Linked DNA regions of Caenorhabditis elegans. The protein of the gene in region 3 interacts with the protein of the main gene of each other region in a pairwise test. Each region holds a gene or a part of one and is shown on either strand. Other genes may lie near its edges.

What was found.
Region 1: the proteins of mdf-2 (region 3) and pcyt-2.1 interact in a two-hybrid assay, tested with the Caenorhabditis elegans proteins (one large-scale study listed by BioGRID).
Region 2: the proteins of mdf-2 (region 3) and T19B4.5 interact in a two-hybrid assay, tested with the Caenorhabditis elegans proteins (one large-scale study listed by BioGRID).

What each region holds. Positions count from the first base shown.
Region 1 is NC_003279.8:2,076,956-2,080,710, reverse strand, and holds the start of pcyt-2.1 (ethanolamine-phosphate cytidylyltransferase), read right to left. Parts: upstream 1,753-3,755; 5' UTR 1,744-1,752; coding exon 1,685-1,743; intron 1,448-1,684; coding exon 1,354-1,447; intron 1-1,353.
Region 2 is NC_003279.8:5,672,275-5,676,029, reverse strand, and holds the start of T19B4.5 (uncharacterized protein), read right to left. Parts: upstream 1,727-3,755; 5' UTR 1,622-1,726; coding exon 1,558-1,621; intron 1,472-1,557; coding exon 1,095-1,471; intron 1,048-1,094; coding exon 532-1,047; intron 410-531; coding exon 338-409; intron 1-337. Other genes in the region: zipt-2.4 (Zinc transporter ZIP3), read left to right, coding at 2,686-2,766, 2,817-2,916, 2,963-3,295.
Region 3 is NC_003282.8:2,639,342-2,643,096, forward strand, and holds the start of mdf-2 (Mitotic spindle assembly checkpoint protein MAD2A), read right to left. Parts: upstream 1,684-3,755; 5' UTR 1,670-1,683; coding exon 1,600-1,669; intron 1,550-1,599; coding exon 1,403-1,549; intron 1,339-1,402; coding exon 1,221-1,338; coding exon of another isoform or gene 1,205-1,220; exon of another isoform or gene 357-1,204; coding exon 294-356; intron 1-293. Other genes in the region: nduv-3 (NADH dehydrogenase [ubiquinone] flavoprotein 3, mitochondrial), read left to right, coding at 1,971-2,070, 2,527-2,678; Chaperone ric-8, read left to right, coding at 3,646-3,755.

The DNA.
Region 1 (3,755 bases), on a different chromosome or scaffold from region 3:
TTCCCCTGATTCCGAATATCGATGTGAAAAAATTCCAAAAATTCAAAAAAAAAATTCCGTGATTTTATATTTAAGCTTGAAATCGCCGAATTTCATTTGTGCCCCCGAATCACTTTTTAAATTCGCGCCCAAAGAACTTCGCATTGGAGCGCGCTTTGATTTTCTTCATTTAAATATTTCATTTATTTTTCGCCGAATTCAGTTTTATTAAAAACCAGTTTTATTCATTTTTGTCGAGTTTTTATCGGTTTTTTCGACAAAAATTAATGAAACTGGTTTTAAAAAACTGAATTCGGCGAAAAATAAATAAAATATTTATTTAAATTAAGAAAATCAAAGCGCGCTCCAATGCGAATTTCTTTGGGCGCGCATTTGAAAAAAGTGATTCGGGAAAAACAAATGAAATTCGGCGATTTCAAGCTTAAATATAAAATCGTGGGAATTTTTTTTGAATTTTAATTTTTTTCACATCGATATTCGGAATTAGGGGAAAATTTGGGGTCAATTAAAAATATTTCCCAGATTTCGGTACTCCACCTTTAAAGGTCGGAAAAAATTGCAATAAAAAAAAATATTACTTAACGTTTTTTTTTCTATTTCAATTGGAAATTAGAAACGAATATGTTTTTTTAGTCACTAAAAATGTTTTTTTTTTGCTAAATTTCGATCTGAAATTTAAAAATTTTTAATGATTACCACAATATACCCTAACTTACGATATATTTAGTGAAAAATATTGTAAAATATTCTTTTTTTTTCCATGCAACCCCAAATTATAACGAAAATATCCATTCAATCAGAATATTTACCAGATGCCAACTATTTCGGGTCTCGACGCGATCTCGAAAAAAATGAAAAAAAACTGCAAAATAGCTAAAAGTACAGTACTCCTTAAAGGGTCACACACGCGTGTTCCTTTAAAATTTTTGTCAAGTCACGAAATTTCTTTTTAATTCGTGGCTTTTAATAAGGAAAATTGAATAATTGAATTATTTAAACAATATTTTTTACCTGAACTATCGTAATTTAAAGTGAAAATTAATTTAAATAATTCACAGAAGTTGATTTTTAAAATAATTTATAGCCACGTGGTGCCAGGGGTCCCTGTCCCATTACGGTTTGATCTACAAAAAATGCGGGAATTTTTCTCCCATTAAAATGTGACGTCAGCACGTTCTTAACCATACGAAATGAGTTAAGAACTCTGCCGCATTTTTTGTAGATCAGCGTAGATCAAGTGTGTTATAGGGAAAAATTTCGCAATTTACGAGTTACGACTTAAAAACTGCTAATATTTTAACAAAAATTTGCATATTCCCATCTTCTTTTTAGGGAGAAAAAAATATTGAAAACCTCTTCATCATTATGTACTCCAACAATTAACTTCTGTCCAAACTGCTTAGCCTGCCGTAATTGATTTGCATGGCCGAAATGCACCATGTCATAACTGGAAAATTAATTCATTTTAAGGCTCAATTCACATGGTGTCAAAGTGTCTCATTTCGGCGTGATCTACGTAGAGATCTACAAAAAATGCGGGAAAAGAGACGCAGACTTTTCAACAAAAATTGGTTAAGAACGTGCTGACGTCACATTTTTTTGGAAAAAAAATCCCACATTTTTTGTAGATCAAACCGAAAAGAGACACTTTGACACCACGTGTCGATTCCAGCCAAAAACCAACCATCCATCAGCCCAAACTCGATTTCCTTTGGGCAGTCCATCTGGTGCTAATCCGCTCATTTTTGAACTGAAATTTTAAAAATAATTTTTTTTTTTAATTTAAGATCAAAGTTCAAATTGTTGCAGAAGAAAAAAAAATTTAAAATCACGTTAATAATATTTTCTCACTTAAAATTTTAAAGGTTGAGTACCGAAATCTGTGAAATATTTTTTATATTACTCCAAATTTTCCCCTAATTCCGAATATCTATGTGAAAAAATTCAAAAAAAATTCCCTGATATTATATTTTAGCTTGAAATCGTAGAATTTCATTTGTCCCCCGCATCACTTTTTTTAAAATTCGCGCCCAAACAAATTCGCATTGGAGCGCGCTTTGATTTTCTTCATTTAAATATTTTATTTATTTTCCGCCGAATTCAGTTTAAACCAGTTTTATTCATTTTTGTCGAAAAAAATCGATAAAAGCTCGACAAAAATGAATGAAACTGGTTTTCAAAAAACTGCATTCGGCGAAAAATAAATAAAATATTTAAATGAAGAAAATCAAAGCGCGCTCCAATGCGAATTTCTTTGGGCGCGAATTTGAAAAAAAGTGATGCTAGTACAAGCGATTTCAAGCTTAAATATAAAATCAGGGAAATTTTTTTGAATTTTTTCACATAGATATTCGAAATCAGGGGAAAATTTGGAGTCAATTAAAAATAAATTAAAACAATGTAGTCAACGGACATTGAAGAGTGACCCCGACATCACCCGATTAAATAGCAATCGGAATGAAAAAATGCGGAAAAAAAAAGAAAAAAATTGTGACGTTATCAGTTCGAAAAGGACGTCGAACCCGGAGCAGACCGCCTGTCATGGAAAAAATATTTAGTCGAGTTTTTTCATTTTCAATGACGAATTGTGGAGGAGTTTCTCACAAAAAATTCAAAAATTGCACTTCCGGGATTTTTCTACTCAGTAAGCCTAGTGGGGAAATTGCTTTAAAACATGCCCATAGGGTCACAATGACCGAATATCACGATAAAAAAATTCAAAAAATTTTCTAGATTTTATATGATTTTTTTTTGAAAATTGAAAAATCTCAGTTTTTGCCTAATTCCTATTTGAATTACCGCCAATTGAAATTGTTCGATGGAGCGCACTTGCATTATTTTTATTTATTTATTTTATTTTTCTCATTATTTCACTGATTTTATTCGTTTTTTGGGGGTTTTTAATCGGAAAAATAGAGAAAAATGCAAATTGGTCATTAAAAAATTACTGAAAATGGGTAAAACTGTGTTTCGACGCCAAAAATCCTGAAAATAGCATATTCCACAGTTTTACTCATTTTCAGTTACTTTTTAATAAATCTTATAAGCATTTACCTTGCATTTTTCTCTCTTTTTCCGATAAAAATACACAAATAATGAAGAAAATCAGTGAAATAATGAGAAAAATAAAATAAATAGTGCAAGCGCGCTCCATCGAACGAACCCAATTGGCGGTAATTCAAATAGAAATTAGGGGAAAACTGAGATTTTTCAATTTTCAAAAAATCATATAAAATTTAGAAATTTTTTTTGAATTTTTTAATCATGATATTCGGCCATTGTGAAGCAATTTTCCCACTGGGCGCACTCCACCTTAAAAAAATTTCATTGAAAATCAAAAATGTTGCCAATTTTTTTAATAAAATCCTTCCGAAATCTGAAAGTTGGTAATTTTATAGAAAGTTTTAATTATTTTTCTATTTTTCGCGTCTAGAAACTTCAAGAAAACAACACAAAATGACGTTTGGTCACACCACAAAACACATTTTGTTTGTTTCCGATGGAAACAAAAATCGTAATTTTTCCATTTTCCCCTTACACAAAAGAAAGGCAAATTTTCGAAAATTTGATAAGAAACTTGAGATAATCAATAAAGGTTCAAAAAATATTCCGGCGTTGAAACAATGGCAGTTGCCCTTCACCACGTGATCAGGTGACCTATGCGCACGCGCGCGGGTCTCCGAGGACCACCTCTTATCGATCATTTCTGGCGGGGGGAGAATGGTCAAGTATTGAACACAGAACGTCTGCTTCGT
Region 2 (3,755 bases), on a different chromosome or scaffold from region 3:
TATTATTGTTTAGAAACAAAATCGAACATTTTGATAAGTTTAAAAAAACCAAGATGTTTACTAAATTCGTAATTTCACTATAAATTAATAATTCAAACTTTCTTCCAAATTTGCTCGATGACAAAGCAGTTAAGTTTTTTGGAGAGTTTCGACTGCATTTCCCCAGAAGGTGTACTTTTAAGATAAATTAGTAATAAAAATGGAATTTCAGTTCTCAGTCATTGGTTTTCCGTTTACATAGCTTTGAGAAAATAATTTACAGGTTCAAGATTTTATTCTGCATTTCAAAACATTGAAGCTCTTTTTTTTGTATAATAGACTTTTTTTTAAAACGTACTCCTTCTTGATTATTGCCCACGTGTCCTTCAATAACAACATGCTCTTCGGGCTCTTCAACCATCATTTGACCCTGAAATCCAATAAATGTTTGCAAAAGGGATATCTTATTTTTATTGTTTTATCAATTTTGAAAGTTGTAAAAAAACATATTGTAATTCATATTTAATAAAATGTAATTTAACTGAAAATTACCATATGATCATTTCGATAAATATTGTTATGACCTCCAGCCTCATTGAACTTTCCATAATACATCACATGAATCGAATCCCTCAATTTTCGATTTTCAGTCTCCAACTGACGAATTCTAGCTGAAAATGCATTTTCTCTGGCTTCCGAAATAGTCTTTTCATGTCGTTGTCGTTCGCGATAATATGTTGTCAGAGTCGAGTTCGCCTCATTTGATCTTTCCAGATCCATAATCAACATTCCAAGATATTGATGATATTCATCCTGTGAGAAGTCAGCTTCTTGTAATTCTCTTAATCTCTCAGTATCGACTTTTGCATCTTCTATTGTTTGTTTGATATTATTCTCGATTTCGATAAGAGCATGTTCGGATGCTGTCGGATTTGCACGAGCCACACTTGAAGCCAGACGAACTACTTTGACAGGTTGCAGATTTTTCTGTGATTGTTGACCTTGCTGCAGATGAGATTGTTGTTGAGTTTGCTGCTGATGTGGGCGAGCTGCGGGCATGTTCATTTTCTGAAAAGGAATATTAATAAATTTAATATCTCGACCAAAAAAATTACCTTTACACCTGGAGGAAGCCCATCAGAATTATCTCGTTTTCTTCCAGCAAAGCTGACAATTCTCGCGCCGGCTGGAGAAATTCTTGTCTGAGGTCTCTGCTGAGCTGGCATATAGACATTTTTATTTTGCAATTTCTGAACCATATCCATATTATGTGGGTAACTTTGTGGACGAGGAGCCATCGGACGGCCAACTCCTCTACGAATTGATTGAGATTGTTGTTGTGGAACTTGATAAGCAGGAGCTGATTGACGGTTATCATAGTGATGATGATGCATTGGATTACCACGAAGTTGTGGATGATGATGGTGATCAACAACCATTTCAGTCGAACCGTCGTCTACAATTTCTTCATGGGCAACTTGTTGTTCATCCCCTGGAAAATTTGAATTTAATATACCTCATGCAAAAAGTCGAAAAGCTGTGTTTGCAAAGGTGGTAAATAAAACTCGTAAATATTACCTGGATCACCTCCATCGATAACTAATTCGGCCTGCTCTAAAACATTCATATTCGATGGATTCATAGTCTGGTGACTGCTTCCTGCTCCGGAAGAAGATGATGTCACTGGCGGTGAGTTCGGGCGAAAGTATCGCTGTCGCCGAGACGGAATCATACAGAGAGAAAACCTATAAAAATTCGAGACATGACTTAACACGCCAAGTCGGATAAATGAGGGCTGAGAGGAGAAAAATGAGTGTAAATAAAAATGAAAAACTCCTAATCGTTTTTAAAACTTTAAAACTAAAACATTAAAACAATTGTAAACAAACGCGTTAATCGTCAGTTTTTACCGATCGTAGAAGACAACTTTAAAATGAACATTTCTGTAGTAATACCATCGAACACTATCGAAAGAACAAAATAATGCATTTCCTAATACTTATGAAAGCTATTTCAATGAAACTAGTGGGACTATTCAATAACCTTCTACCGTTATTCGTTTCATAGCATATTCTGAGTGTTATGATTTTTCTTTGAGTTTAAATTACGTTAGGATGATTCGAAATGAAGTGCATCATGAACAACATCCAAAATTAGCATTTTAACGAAAGAAACTTCGAAGGAAAACGGGTAATTATTTAAGTTAAGGTTAAAATTCAAAAATCGTCATTGAAACTGTTTTTTGCTAAACAGCACGCGTCTGCGTTATTTCGGAGTGTCGTTGCGAGATTCAGGCCTCACCCCGCAGGCCTAAAGGCACATCTTTGCACAGCCTTATGCCGAATTTGGCGTTAAATTTAAAGAATTTTCTTCTTTCTTTAGATTATAAATGATTTTTTAAAATACAAATACAAATATTTACATTCGATAGCCGTTGGTTTTATTGTTATTTTTATTATTGAAACCGCTATTCACACTATTTCTGATTCTACATTATCTTCTAATCGATATCAACAATAATTCTTCTGGTTTAACTGAATTCTCGCGCGTTCTCTCATTTCCCTTCCGCTTTTATATACTTTTCTTTGAAAACTAGAACAAAGCACACTGTTATCAATTATTCTTATCAGCTGCACCCTCCGGACCGCCCCGTTGCCAACTTTTTCGTGCATAACTTTTATTTTAGTTTTTTTTCCAGAAAACAAAATGAACGAAGCAATACTGAAATTGGTGTTAATGTTTGTAATGTTTTCGCTCACAGTTATCGTTGGATTATCGCCATTAAAAGTGAGAAATTATTGAGATTTGTGTATTAATATTTCACTAATGTTTTTCAGGTACTTCACAAATTACGGCATGAAGCAGCGACAGCTCAGAGCTCATCAAAACACAAACACGTTTCCCTTGTTCTCTGCCTTTTGACATGCTTTTCTGGAGGTTCGGAAATGTTTTAAAATATTTTATTAGTTTTATAATTTTTCAGGAGTCTTTCTTGCCACGTGTTTCCTTCATCTTTTCCCAGAACTTCGTGAAAATCTTGAAACCCTCGATACAGTTCATAATTTTCGTATCGATTATCCAGTCGGAGAACTTTTATCTTGTCTCGGATTCTTTCTTATCTTCTTTCTCGAAGAAGTCGTTATTATGATAATTCCATCATTTGCTCATGGACATGGACATGGTCACGGACATGATCATCATCATCATGAAACTACACCTCCATTGGCTTCAAAAAGTGTCGAAGCTTCTGGCGCTGGAGGATGTTGTATGGCTGATACTGTTGATGAAATTAAGAAAAAAGAAGACGACCTTGTTGGTGAGTTTTTAAAATTGAAATGCTGTAAAACATACGCGAATTTCTGGGTCAAAAATACACCTCATCTCGAAAAGTTTAATTTTTAGCTTCTTTTTGTTTTTTCTATCAAAATTATAATTGAAACGTGAAATTTTGCGATTTCTGCGCCAAAAATACGGTACCAATCTCGACACGACAATATTTATTTAAATGCAAAAATTTGTGTGCCTTCAAAGATTACTGTAATTTCAAATTCTCGGTGCTTCAGCATTCTGCGGAATTTTTTATCGATTTTTATAGTTTTTTTAACGGTTTGTTGTAGATAATGTAGTTTTTCAAACCTAAAGTATTCTTTTGATCGAAAAACTTTGAAAAATAGAGATAACACTCCGCAACAACGAAAATTTGAAATTACAGTACTTTTTAAAGACGCACACCTTTCTTCATTCAGCAAAAATTGTCGTGTCGAGACCGTTGCTAA
Region 3 (3,755 bases):
CCAACTTTTTGCGTCAATTCTCAAAACTTTTACGTTTTCCTCCATTTTTTTTGCGTATAATTTCCGTCTAAAAACCCATAATACAAATATAATTGAGGATCATCTCTTTCCTTCCTTCTTCCACCAATTAGTCAAATAAAACACGTCTGTCGCCTAGATATGGTATTCTCCCAACCAATAAGAGCACCATCACACCACCTGACGCCACAAATTTGTATTTTGGTTATTTCTAATCAAATTTCTCAAATTTTCGGGGGTTCTTTTCTTCTTTTTGTCCTTTTTGAAAGCCGTACCGAATCACATCGCTAATCTCCTGCCGAATCTTCTTCTCCTCCTTGACGCGGTGCGCGTTTTCTCTGCAAAAATTGGGAATTTAGGTCTAAAAATTTATGAAAATTACGAAATTTGACCTTAGAAAAGTTGAAAATTGGCCCTGAAACCCTGAAATTGCCCTTACAAAAAGAAACTTCCCATGCCGGGAATCGAAACCGGGCCGCGTGGGTGAAAACCACGAATCCTAACCACTAGACCACATAGGATCCAAAAACTGAGGGCGCGAGTGCATAGACATGCCGGTGGGGGCCAGGGATTTATCGATTTATCGATTTTTTTTTCGCTTTTTTTTTCAGTTTTTTGCAAATTAAGCATCTCCTTGACCTCTCTGCTTCCGGCTGAGCACACCTGTTATGCTTCTGAAGACTCTCCTCTTGGTATAATGTCTATTGCGTCATCATAGGGCGGTTGCCGGAGCACTTGAGAGTCAAGAGGTTTTTGTTGTTGAAAGGGATTATGAGACAATGAGAAATGTATACATATCACACCTTTTTGAGGGGGTTTGTGATGCAATTAGTGGGTTTCAGTGAGAATTTTGAAACAAAAAAATCCGAAAAAAATGCTGAAAATTAATCAAAACGTGCGAAAATTTGTAACTTCTATCGGTAAATTTCCAATTTTTAAAGAAATTCTCAAGAAAAAATCAATTTATTGCTCCGGAAAAGCTGAGAGTAACCTAAAAATTGAGACAATTCAGTTAAAAAACTTCAAAAACGCGCCAATAATTAGGAGATTTTAATCGCAAAACTTGGCCAATTTCAACAATTTCAACAGGAAAAATGACCATTCTGAAGATTTTTTCAGCCAAATTCCCCAGTTTTAGCGGAAAAAATTGAGCTTGACGCCGGATTTTGCAGCTTTGAGCCAGTTTTCAAACGATTTCGTACCCTTCCTCGGCCAAATTCTCTGTATGAATATCGAATTGCCATCTTTCCACGACTTCCTTCGTCTTCACCTCGGAAATCACCATCACCAACCGTTTCAGCTGTCTTTTCGCGAGCCAATCTGCAAACTTCAGATGATTTTAACGCTGAAATTCGAATTTCCCCCGCCGCCGCAAAAAAATTACATTCAACTTGCTGCAAAAGTGGATCCATGAACGCTTGGAGCTTCTTCTCATGAGCCACCCACAGTGTGAGCCCGTACTTCTTCTCACGCTTGAAACTGTCTGATGGATAAAGCGCACGTTGATAGAGAATGCTGTTAAGGCCGAAATCTGAAATAAAAAACGATAAAATCGCGAATTTTTGCAGGGGAAAACCGTACGGAAGAACTCTTTGACGAGTTGGGCAGATCCTTTGAGGGAAATCGCGTTTTGTGTCTTTACATCCGTCATTTCTGATGAATTCCCTGCAAAATAACGATAAAAACTGATTAAAAATCGAAGAAAAATGACCGAAAACGCGCCGCAAACAGTTTAAGATTCGAATTCTCCCGCCGAAACAATTGCACGAGAAACGCGCCAATAAACATCACGAAACGCGCCAGCAAGCGTCCAAGGCACATATCGATTTTTCTCGCGACTCGGAAAAGAAATTAATTAAAAATCTCGAAAATCATCGATTTTCATTGTTTCTTTCAGTTTTTTCATTGATTTTTTGGTAAAATAATTGATAAATAAGTTTTTTTTTTCAGAAATGAACCGCTTGATGGTTATTTCGGCTCGTCGGATGGCGTCGGCGGCTCCAAAAACGAGCACCGGAATCGAGCACGCAGAGAAGGCCAGACAGGTCGCTGGTATGGCTTTCTGAAACTCTAAACTAGATAATAATCCGTCATAATATTGTATTGAAAAAGTTTAAGCCAAAAAATTCCTTAAAAATAGCTGAAAAAGTTGAATTTTTGCGGAAATGGCACGAAAATTCGATGTTTCCCGTAAAATCACTGAAATATTTGATTTTTTGCATTAGAACTTGTGAATAGCTAAATTTTTAGTTACAATTTCATTGAAAAAAGCTAGTTTCTGCAAAAAATGTCGATTTTTCGCCATTTTTCTTGTTAAAATCGATTTTAGCCGAAAATATTCTGATTAAACATTAAAAATGAGCAGAATATCGATTTTTGTCAGAAAAAAAAACTATGAAAAGTCTAATTTTCTGGAAAAATGTGCATTTTTCTAGAAAAAAAATCGAATTTCAGACAAGTTTTTCCCAATTTCCATCCAATTTCCACGCAAAATCTCTCAATTTTCAGGCGGAAAACCCGATTGGTCACTGTACAAATGCGACGAATACCTGAAATTCGACAAATACTCGTACGCTCACGCCGAAATCACCATGAACAAGGATCGTGTCGTTCAGCCGTCCTACAAGAAGGCCGACGTTCTTCCGAAAGTTCGAGCTTAATCTTTTTTCGACATTTTCTGTGTGAAAAATAGAGTTTTCGGTGGATTTTATCATTTTTTTTGTGTAGATTTTTCGTATAAATATGAGTTTTTACATAGATTTTTTAATTTTATTGATTTCATGGCTGTTTCCATGCTTAATTATCTAGTAACAAGTCGTTGAAAAACGAAAAAAACACAACGATGCTCCGATGTTCCGCACGTGCATGTTGTTTATCATTGCTCAAAAAATGGCGGTTTTTCGAATTTTTTTTGTGAATTTTTGCTGTTTTTCCGCCTAAAAAAATAAATTTTAACACAATAATAAGCCGAAGCACAATTTTTCTTTAATGCCTGCTCGTTCCCACGGTGATTGCCGCCACAAGGGATTACCTAGCAGCGAGTTTCCATGGTGATGGGCGTCGCTAGCTTTTGTTCAGAGAAGCAGATGTCATATTCATTGAATTTTTAATTTTTTCAATCAAAATCGCATTATTTTCGAGAGATTCGAGGGAAAAATCGAAAAAATTGCAAAATTTTGATCGAAATTGTTGATTTTCATTATTTTTCGCAATTACTTCAATGAAAAATCACTTCAAAATGACCAAAAATGGTGTTTCGATGCAAATAATAAGGGTTTTTTTTTCAGAATAAGCTAGTGAAAAAAAAAAAATCGAATTTTCACTATTTTTCTCCTCGTTTCTTTGATTCTGCCATAAATACGATTGGAGAGAGTAAAATCTGAAATTTTTCCGAAAACCAGTTAAAATTCTGTTATTTTTCAACAAAAACCGTAAAAAAAATCATTAAAAACCTCGGAAAAAAAGTAATTTTTCGCTTTTTTTAAAACAATTTTTAACGATGCTCCGAAATCCCGCATGCGCGTGCTGTTTAGCATCACAAAAATTCGCGATTTTTTGAATTGTTCGATCCTGAAATTGCATTTTTTCTCGTAAATAATTAATTTTTCATGATTTTCAGGCAATTCCATGTCTGAAGAACTACATTCCGACCTGATTGCGTCGATTTTCGGCGGGAAGCCTGCCAAAATCGAGGAATTCTTCTCGAAATGGAATTTCGCGAACGCCGCTGTCTCAAA